Caenorhabditis elegans: one gene and its partner. The protein of the gene in region 2 interacts with the protein of the main gene of each other region in a pairwise test. Each region holds a gene or a part of one and is shown on either strand. Other genes may lie near its edges.

Region 1 (5,550 bases), on a different chromosome or scaffold from region 2:
ATAAAGGTGGACCTCTCACCTGATTGGTCGGAAAGTGGGCGAAGCAATTCGCTGGTTGGTCGGCCAAAATTTAGCCAAAATTGAAAAAAAGGTGTTTTTTTTCTGTGGAATTTCTGAATTTTTAGGATTTTCCAAAAAAAATCCGAATTTTTTGATTTTTTAACAATTTTCAAAAAAAAACTGCTTTTTAGGCCCCGCCCACTTCTTGGAGATAGGTTATTTTGGAAAATAAATTCCAAAAAAAACACTGAAAATTTCCGAATGCCCAAGAAGTGGGCGGAGCCTAAAAATAAATTTTTTTGGATTTTTTTATTTTTCAAAAAAAAACGGCTTATTAGGCCCCGCCCACTTCCTGGAGATATCTGTTTTTCTGGAAAGGAAAAAAATTCCAAAAAAATCACTTGAAATTTCCGGATATCCAGGAAGTGGGCGGAGCCTAAAAATAAATTTTTTTGAAAATTTCCAGTAGATCTTTGTTGTTGCATTTTTCTCTATATTTTCAAATTGTGTTTGCTTTTATTAAATATATAAAATGAGACCAAAAAACATGGCAAAACAAGTGAAAAAGATCAAAATAATTATGATTTCCCGCCCGAATCATCGATCAATAACGTTCACGTCTTCTGTCATCATTGCGATGATGCCGGCTCGAGCTTCGGTCATATCCATGACGATCGTGATGACGGTGTGGCGTGGAATTCTGATGACGTCCATTGTACGGAGGAGCGGATCTATTAATTTGTTGCTGCATCATTTGATTTACAAAATGTTGATGAGGAAGCATTTGCGGAGTCGAATATTGTGGAGGACCTGGAAAATATTGATTTTTCGATTTTTTTTCCGACATTCTTGCGTTTTTCGGCTGAATTGGTTACTTTTTTCAGCGAACTTTTTTCAGCTTTTTCAATTTTATTCAATTTTTTTTAGTTATTTTAGGTACATTAAGCTTGTTCTCATGAAATTTAGGTCTAAAAATCTAGAACTTTTCAGAAACTTCTGCAAAAAAAATCGATTTTTTGGAAAAATTAACGAATTTTTCCGACATTTCTGCGTTTTTCTGCAGAAAATTTATTGGTTTTCATTGAATTTTTCTCTAATATTTGATTTTAGGAATGATTTTTCAGACTTTTTGCCGCAAAAAAAGTCCCTGAAACTCTCTAAAATTGGCCACTTTTGAGCTTCAGCAATTTTTTTTTGCGGAAAAATGTCTGAAAATTGGACAAACGATGCTCTTTTTTTCGTCTGGTGTAATTTTTTTTCCCAATTTTTGAGTTATTTTAGGCCTAATTAGGTAAATTGAGCCTGCTTTTATGCAATTTAGGGCTAAAAATCTCCAATTTTTCAGATTTTTGAACAAAAAAAAATTTTTTCTAATTAAGATTTTTTCACCGATTTCTCACTTATATTGAGGGGGTTTCGGAAAAATTATAGATTTGTTCTTCTAAAATTCCTCAAAAATTGGCTCAATTTTTTAAAAATCAAATTTTCCGGCTAATTTCCGCAAAAACCTTGCAAATTATCGATTTTTAGGGTTTCAGCATGTTTTTTTGCGGAAAAAAGGTTGAAATTTTGAATTTTTTGCAAAAAAAAATTTTTAAAAAAAAGATTTTTTTTCCATTTTTCAGTTATTTTGAGCCCGTTCTCATGTATTTCAGGCCTAAAAATCTCCAATTTTTCAGAAATTTCAACTAAAAATCGATTTTTTTGCTACCTCTTTCCCCTCCGCTTCTCCAATGTCCTCCGGATCCTCCCATCAGTGGAGGTGGCGGTGGAGGTGGAAGAGGATCATATTGTCGATGATGACGAGGAGGCTGCTGCTGCTGCCATGAGTCACGGTTGTTTCCGTTTCTGGAAAAGACAAAAAAAAAATGATTTTTCGGCCTTTTTTTGTTGATTTTCAACGTTTTTCTTCGATTTCTGAGATTTTTAATCAAAAAAAAAATGTTGTGAGACAGAAACCAAGCCAACGCCGGGTATAAAATAAAGCCGAATTTGATCTTTTTATCATCGTCTGAGTTAGAGATGAAGCTTCTTATCGTATTTTTCGCTGTAATTTCTGTGGCTGCGGGGCAGAGCGTGAGTTTTTTATAATGTTTTTTATAATTAAAGGTGGTGTTACACCACTGGTGTAGTAGAATTTTTTTTAAAAATTGCCTTATTAGGCTCAAAATTGTCTGAAAACACCGAATTTCATAATGAAACTTCTTGAAAACTTTTCAGAAAAAAGTTATGACGGCTCAAAAAATGGCCTAAAATTAGATGAAATCGGAAATTTGACCGACTTGTCAATGTCGCAGCGGCTGGAAATATTTTTTTTTTGAAATCACCGTTAAATTTTGAGTCTACGAGTTGATATTTTGCGTTTTAAACTTGATTAACAAGGAAAGTCGAAAAATTTAATGTCTGACTTTGGCATGACATAGTATTTTTTTCGATAAAAGAGTGAAAATAATGATGCCTCCAAAAAATTTAGCTGCCCGGTCCAGGTTCGGCAAAGTTATGACGTTTTGAAAGTGACTGGAACACCTTTTTACAAAATTTCAAAATTTTCAAAAAAAAAAAAAATTTTCTAAAAAGAGGAAAAAACTGTTTTAACTTATCCAAAAATGAGAAAAACATTTATCATACACGTTTTTTCTCACCACAGACCAAAAAGCACATTGCTTGATCTACATAACTTGAGGAAAATTCCAAAAAGTACATTTTTTTGCAGATTTAATTTGTGGGTTTTCTTGAGAGGTATAACCTAAAACTTGCATAGCATATGTTTTTCATTGTTTTGAATAATTTACACACATTTGCTCCTCTTTTTAGAAATTTTTTTTTGTTGAAAATTTTGAAATTTTGTAAAAAGGTGTTTTAGTCACTTCCAAAACGTCATAACTTTGCTGAACCTGAACCGGGCAGCTAAATTTTTTGGAGGCATCATTATTTTTACTCTTTTATCGAAAAATACTATGTCATGCCAAAGTCAGACATTAAATTTTTCGACTTTCCTTGTTAATCAAGTTTAAAACGCAAAATATCAACTTGTAGACTCAAAATTTAACGGTGATTTCAAAAAAATATATTTCCAGCCGCTGCGACATTGACAAGTCGATCAAATTTCCGATTTTAACGAATTTTAGGCCATTTTTTGAGCCGTCATAATTTTTTTTGGAAAAGTTTTCAAGAAGTTTCATTATAAAATTCAAAAAAAAAATCAATTTTGTTTCTTTTCAGATCATCTGGAACAATAACAATGCTAACAGATTCCCAAGTTGCTTTGGTACGATTTTTAACGCTAAAAAATCAATAAAATTCAATTTCCAGCCTGCTCCACTGCCGCCGGCTTCGTCGCCAACATTGACGGCCAGTCTACAAATGCTCGGTGCACTGACGCTGCTTCAAATCCAGCCGAACGATGCCCAGGATGTTGTGCATCCGTTGCTCTTGCCGCCGGGCTCTCCGCAGATCGCGCCTCCGGATTCCCGTCGACAAACGGAAGAAGCTGTGTTTGCTGCGTCAGATCGTGCTAATTGAGCCTTAAAATCCTTGAATTAATCCAATAAACTCTACCTATTCCTGTTCCGATCATCTCTATAGCTATCCCGTCTTCCGTCTCGATCCGGTGCCGCTACCGATCGAACTCTTTCCTCGATTTCTCCTTTTTTTCGCTTATATAATTCCTCCTGATTTGTGCCATTTCGCGGCTTTACTTGTAGTTCTTGATTGAAAAGTCGCACTCCATTCATCAATTCAATGGCGAATAGTACAGATAATTCGTCCTGAAATTTATTTTTTTTTTTAAATTTTTCAGCGAAATTGCTTACCTCAAACTCCACCAATGCGAATTTTGCATTAGAATCCCTCACATCTCTCAGAATAACTTTTACAACGGGGCCGGCTTGAATAAAAAGCTCTTCGAGCAATTCTTCATCGACTTCTTCTGAAAAATTGGCCACGTATATTGTGCGCTCTTCTGGAGGCGATGGCGTTGGTTTTATTTCCATTTTTTGCTGAAAATTCAAATTTAAATTCGAAATTTCGAAAAAAAGGCTGAAAATTCACTCATGTGAGAGAAAAAGCGAGAAAAACGAGAAAAACCAAATAAATCCCATTCCCATTCCCGGATGGCGCAAACATGTCCTCGCTGACGCGTTTCTCGATTTTGCTGGCGCATATCTCGTGCATAGAGAAAAGCCAGCACGGCACTAGAAAAGTAGAACCTAGCCGACAAAAACTGGTTGTTTTAGCAAATTTACTTAACCTTTTTCCGTTTTTTGTGAAAATTAATTGTTTCCAAAGTATATTTCAGGTACTTTTACTAGTTTTTTCCGTGTGTCGAGTGGAGAAGAGGCTCGCAGAGCTCTACAGTTCGATTTAAAGCAAAAATTAATATTTCTCCATGGAGCGAGCGGTGTATTTATTTTTAAAATTTTTATACAGCTAAACCGCTCAATTCCTGAGAATTAGCTTTGTTTGAAACCAAACTTAAATTGACTTAAAAATCCATATTTCTACCTCAAAAAATAAATCGAATCCGTCTCAAGAGCCCTTTAGCCACCCTTTAGCCCCCTTCTTCCTCAGAAAAATGTCCGCTTTTTTTTAATTCAAAAGAAAAAAGGTTATTTCTTCCTCATTTTTCTCCTGTATGACGAATTTACCTGCTTTTCAGATCGTCAGAGCGCCCAAATGAGTCATTATTTATTTGTTTTACTAACTATTTCATAGCAGTTTCAAAAAAACTAGAAAGTTCTTTTCAGGTTCAGGCTATGAGGAACAATATTTTTCTAGATTGATAAATAAATATTTCTCCGTTGTTCCGCAATTTTTATCGAGAAAAAACAAGATCAGGCGCCCCCTCGTGGGGTTTTTTTTCTGAAAAGTGCAATTTCCTGCCTCTCTTTTGCTAGACGATTCATTAAAAACCCACAAATGATGATGATAAGACATCAAATTTTGATTTCTTTGGCATTTTTTACAAAGATTTTTGATTTTTTTTAAACGCTAATCGTAATTTCGTACTTTATTTAGTGTGTTTAAACCATAAATTGTTAGAAATCTTGTCTCAAACACATATGTGCTCATGAGCATGCTCACAAATACTTTTTGATGACAAAAACAATTATTTTCACTGATAACATGTAATAAAACATAAAATGAACATAAAACATGATTTTTAATGCAAAAAACCCCTTTTTTCGAAGAATTTTGATTAAATTTGATATTCCACTACTTTTCCCCAGCTCTTTCACTTTCCGCCTTTTCTGGGTCTCCCCCGTCGTCTCCCATATCTCTTCTTCCCCGTTCGTTCTCCCATTTTCTTGGCTAATTGCCAAGAAATTGGAACAACGCCACATCTGTCTCGCGCGCCACTGCAACTTTTTCCTCACGAGGGACGAGGAAAAGTGGTTTCTAGGCCATGGCCGAGGGGCCGACAAGTTTCAGCGGCCATTTATCTTGCTTTGTTTTCCGCCTGTTTTCTTTTGTTTTTCATCGATTTTTTTCGTTTTTTCTTATTAAAACTGATAAATAAATACTTTTTGCAGATGCTAAAACAATTTCCAA
Region 2 (3,930 bases):
ACCACGAGCCAGCTTTGTCGTCTCATTGTAATTCTAAATTGGAAAGTTTAATTTTTGAACAATAAAACAAGTGGGGCACTCACAGTGCAGCAGACTTGGCATTTGAGAAACTCCTCGAGAAAATCACCTATCAGCGGGAATGCAGGCGACGCAGCCGAACTATCTGGAATTTTCGAATTTTGGAACCAGATCTTATAAAAACGAAAAATTACCTGTTACAGATGCCACATCCGCAGGCATTTCACTTTTTGTTGCGGACATTTATGGCTGAAAATGCTAAATTAAGTAGGTGATTTTTGGGAAAGAAAGGAGAAAAAAATTCAAAACTTCTTCCAAAACTTTCTACAGTAATCTTAAAGGCACATGAACAACCATGTTTGAATTATGATTTCGCGGCGAGACCTTTCCAAATAAATGTGGTTCCCTTGAAAGTCCTGAATTTTTGAATGAGAAAAAAAAACACTTTTGAAGAGAAACAAAAGCGAAAATAAAATAAAGGAAATCGCACAGATTTTTCAGGGGAAAACAAGAAGAGATCTTTATTTTCTCTATTAAAACATGTAAAACAATACAAAAATTTCAGGCGGAGACGGGATAAAATTGAATTATATAGTAATTTATTCTTCATTCAGAAGAGCAGAGAGCAGAAGAAATCTGTGAAGAACTCTGCCGGCTTCTTCTATGTGCGAATTCGGAAAGTCTTCAGTGGAAACTGAGCTGAGTGAAGATTCATTGTCGGAGAATTCTTTTTCGTCGTCGGAAAAGTCGAGGTTCCCGTTTTCCTGGAATTTTTTTCTTAATTTCAGCTGTTTTAGTTTAAAAAATAGCCGTCTGACAATAAATTTACATACATCTCCAAAAAGGCAGCGAAAACTTTTGTACGTCTCCTCTTCATCTGTTTCAGGCATAACCAATGTGGGATAGTAGTCATCGGAACATTCGGAGATATTATCCTGAATTAGAAAAAAGATTAACAATCGAATTCAAAGTCCTACTAACGTCATCGGAAAACGGACAAAAATGATCATTCTCATGATTCCCAAAACTGCCGGAAGTTGTGGAAACCTGCGAAATGCTGTCGTTGTCCTGCAAACATTTTTTCTAAAATATAAACTTGTCGACAGTGACACTTACATTTCCAAAAAGTCCTCGAAAACGTCGGTAGGCGGCCGCCTCCTCAATACCTGAAACCACACCTGGATCATCTAGTTCGTTTTCCTGAAAGATTTTTTCTATTCTAAATGTTTAACTCGATGAAAACTAACGTCTCCAAAAAGACGACGAAAATTGCGATAGAAACCGCCACCCAGTGTTCTGTCCGGGACAGTAGTATTTGATTCTAGAAAATCTGTTGAGTCTTCTGTAGTCTCAGAATCGCTGTCCTGAAAATTTTCAAATCAAGGGAGCATGGAAAATATCAACTAACTCTTGCTGCCAAGAACCTTAGCATAGTTCGAACTCGCTGATCCTCAGAATTCGCATCAGAATTGTCGTCAGAATCGTAATAACATTCAGAAACAGCCCCTGCCAAGGCTTCAGCCATGTTGCTGACCTCTCGCTCGGCTTCTGCTGAAAAAATTCAGTTTTTATAGAAAATACTTATACACATTTGGCTTTGCCTAGACTCCATAGCTGTGATTTGATGCGGAAAACGTCAAAATGGTGAATGAGACTGCTTTTTACTTCAACAAGCAGCTCGCGGAATTTATTATCAATCATTTCATCTCTATTCGTTTTATTTGAGCAGCAACTAGAGGAAGTTCGCGGAGCGTCAACTGGAGGACCCAGAAGCCCGAAATTCCTTGCCAATTCTGAGAAAAAACGTGGATTTCAATACTCAAAAGAGGTAAAACTTACCCATAATTGAAAAATTTGGTGCTACATTTTCGATGTTGCTTTTAGTTTCCGCACGGCAAGTAGGGCACTCTAAATGTGGGGAATTACCGTAGTTTTGCACGTTTCTGATGCATTCTGTGCAGAAAGTGTGGCCACAGTGCAAGGACCGAGCCAATTTTGTGGTTTCATTAAAAGGCTGCAAACATATTTTGTAGAAAATTGAGTAAAACTAGGAAATTAGTACCTGATAGCAGACTTGGCACTGGCAGTACCCAGCCAAGACTGTTGATAGAATTTCTGGATTTTCGGTATTTTTTTCTGAAATGAAATTTAATAAATTTTAATACAAACTCGAGATTGTCAATCTTACCGCTCATTTTCACGGAGATAAATACCTAGAAATTCTGAAACAAAAAGAAAGCTGGAATTTGCCTGGACACAAGCCTGGAAAACAAAAACAAATTTGGGGAGTCTAGCGGAGCGCGTTTACTGTAATTATTTTTGTCTTTTCAAAGTTTTTCATAAAACTAAACTGAATTGTCATTCCTTTTTTGTTTTTAAAATATAAATCAGTTTATTATAAAAAAATTACATTATTAATAATATTAATAATTATATATTGCGACACAAATTTTTCTCAAATTTAAAATTATTTCAGAAGTCAAGACGAAAAAACAAAGCTATTCATTATTCGAAACAATTTTTATTCGATTTTATGATAATATATATATTATTAAATTCCAAAAAGACTGTAAAATGTAAAACTCTCTCTAGCGTAGCATGTGACTTGTCGATTCCCATAAAAAAATAACCATTTAAACATCCGCGCAAAGAAATTCGCATTGGAGCGCACCTGCCTCACTCGTGCTTGTTTCGTTTTTTTATTCTCATTCAATTTCACAACCGTTTTTATCATTATTTTCCGGAAAATCTTAAGAGTTTCTCGTTTAGAATCTTATAAATAATGGAACGTAAAAAACACAAACGCCTAAATGATACGATTATGAAGCCGGAGGACATGAAAAAGGCGAAACTGAACCATAAACTCCCGACGACTAGTGGAGGCACTGGCGGACCGTCAACTTCTGGAGGAGTTAAAGCGAAGTTGGATTTTAGATCAAAAACTTGTATTCCACCAAAGCCAACGCTAAGTAATTCCGGTAAAAATTTTCAATTTTTCCCAGAAAACACCTAATAATTAAACAAATTTCCAGCAAATCCATCCCTACAATCCAGCCATCTCGTTCGCCCCAATCTCGATGATCAATGGAAAGATTTTGGAGATACAATCAATTTAAACATCGAAACCTTCCAGAAAAGCGTACAGGAGGCGATTTTAGCGGGCCATTTTACAAAAATCGCTAAAATGTTCGTCGCCGCGCTCAAGAGCTTCTTTGTCGGAGAAAAGTTGAAAGTGGAGCTCAGAATAATGGGAACAATTGCGGAAACCGTAAAAAATCATGGGGATAAGCTAAATGTTGGTTCAAATCTAACAAAAACTTGGAGAATAATTCTAATCATTGAAAAATTTTCAGCAAATTCCTCTCCACCGCGCTCTGCTCTTCGTAATTTGCAATTCTCGATCATATCCTGACAATATTCTCGAACTATTCATCTCAATAATCACTTCACTTGCAAGGCAACAACCAATTCTTGATAAATGTTATCTAACAGCATTTCTCCATGATTCTATTGGAATGAGCGTTGGACTCGGCACAATGAATCGATGCTCCTGGATTGAAAAAGAGTGCTCGGCAGAGCTTGTGAAAATGATTTTGGATCCGTTTGAAACTGTCTATCCATTTCCGGCAATGTATGCGCAGTGCCAGGTTGAGAATTTTGCCATTTCCGAATTTTTGAGCTTCTTCTCTGAAAAAGTGGGGAAGTCGAGGGAAAAAAGGTAATAAATTTACGATTTTTTAGAAAAAATTTCGCTTATATTTTTCCTAATTTAAACAGAAACAAAAAGCAGCATCTACAAACAACGGTGTAATACTAGCTGAAAAGCATTTAAAGTTTATCAAAATCTCAGAAGAAATTTTTATTCTGTGTTAGAAAAGTGGAAATAAAAAAAACAGTTTAAAGAATAAGTCA

What was found. Proteins that work in one complex are often made in the same cells at the same time.
Region 1: the proteins of rnf-1 (region 2) and rbm-7 interact in a two-hybrid assay, tested with the Caenorhabditis elegans proteins (one large-scale study listed by BioGRID).

What each region holds. Positions count from the first base shown.
Region 1 is NC_003281.10:12,927,870-12,933,419, forward strand, and holds rbm-7 (RRM domain-containing protein), read right to left. Parts: upstream 3,999-5,550; 5' UTR 3,993-3,998; coding exon 3,813-3,992; intron 3,768-3,812; coding exon 3,559-3,767; exon of another isoform or gene 3,519-3,558; coding exon of another isoform or gene 3,313-3,518; intron 3,269-3,312; coding exon of another isoform or gene 3,223-3,268; intron 2,077-3,222; coding exon of another isoform or gene 2,023-2,076; exon of another isoform or gene 2,004-2,022; intron 1,849-2,003; coding exon 1,712-1,848; intron 811-1,711; coding exon 605-810; 3' UTR 501-604; downstream 1-500. Other genes in the region: Y37D8A.19 (uncharacterized protein), read left to right, coding at 2,023-2,076, 3,223-3,268, 3,313-3,518.
Region 2 is NC_003279.8:6,009,258-6,013,187, forward strand, and holds rnf-1 (RING-type domain-containing protein), read right to left. Parts: upstream 2,330-3,930; 5' UTR 2,214-2,329; coding exon 2,207-2,213; intron 2,155-2,206; coding exon 2,081-2,154; intron 2,033-2,080; coding exon 1,858-2,032; intron 1,812-1,857; coding exon 1,620-1,811; intron 1,570-1,619; coding exon 1,427-1,569; intron 1,383-1,426; coding exon 1,266-1,382; intron 1,219-1,265; coding exon 1,135-1,218; intron 1,087-1,134; coding exon 1,000-1,086; intron 954-999; coding exon 852-953; intron 783-851; coding exon 618-782; 3' UTR 525-617; downstream 1-524. Other genes in the region: C06A5.8 (RING-type domain-containing protein), read right to left, coding at 1-33, 84-163, 213-261; ints-1 (Integrator complex subunit 1 RPB2-binding domain-containing protein), read left to right, coding at 2,801-2,996, 3,051-3,313, 3,372-3,736.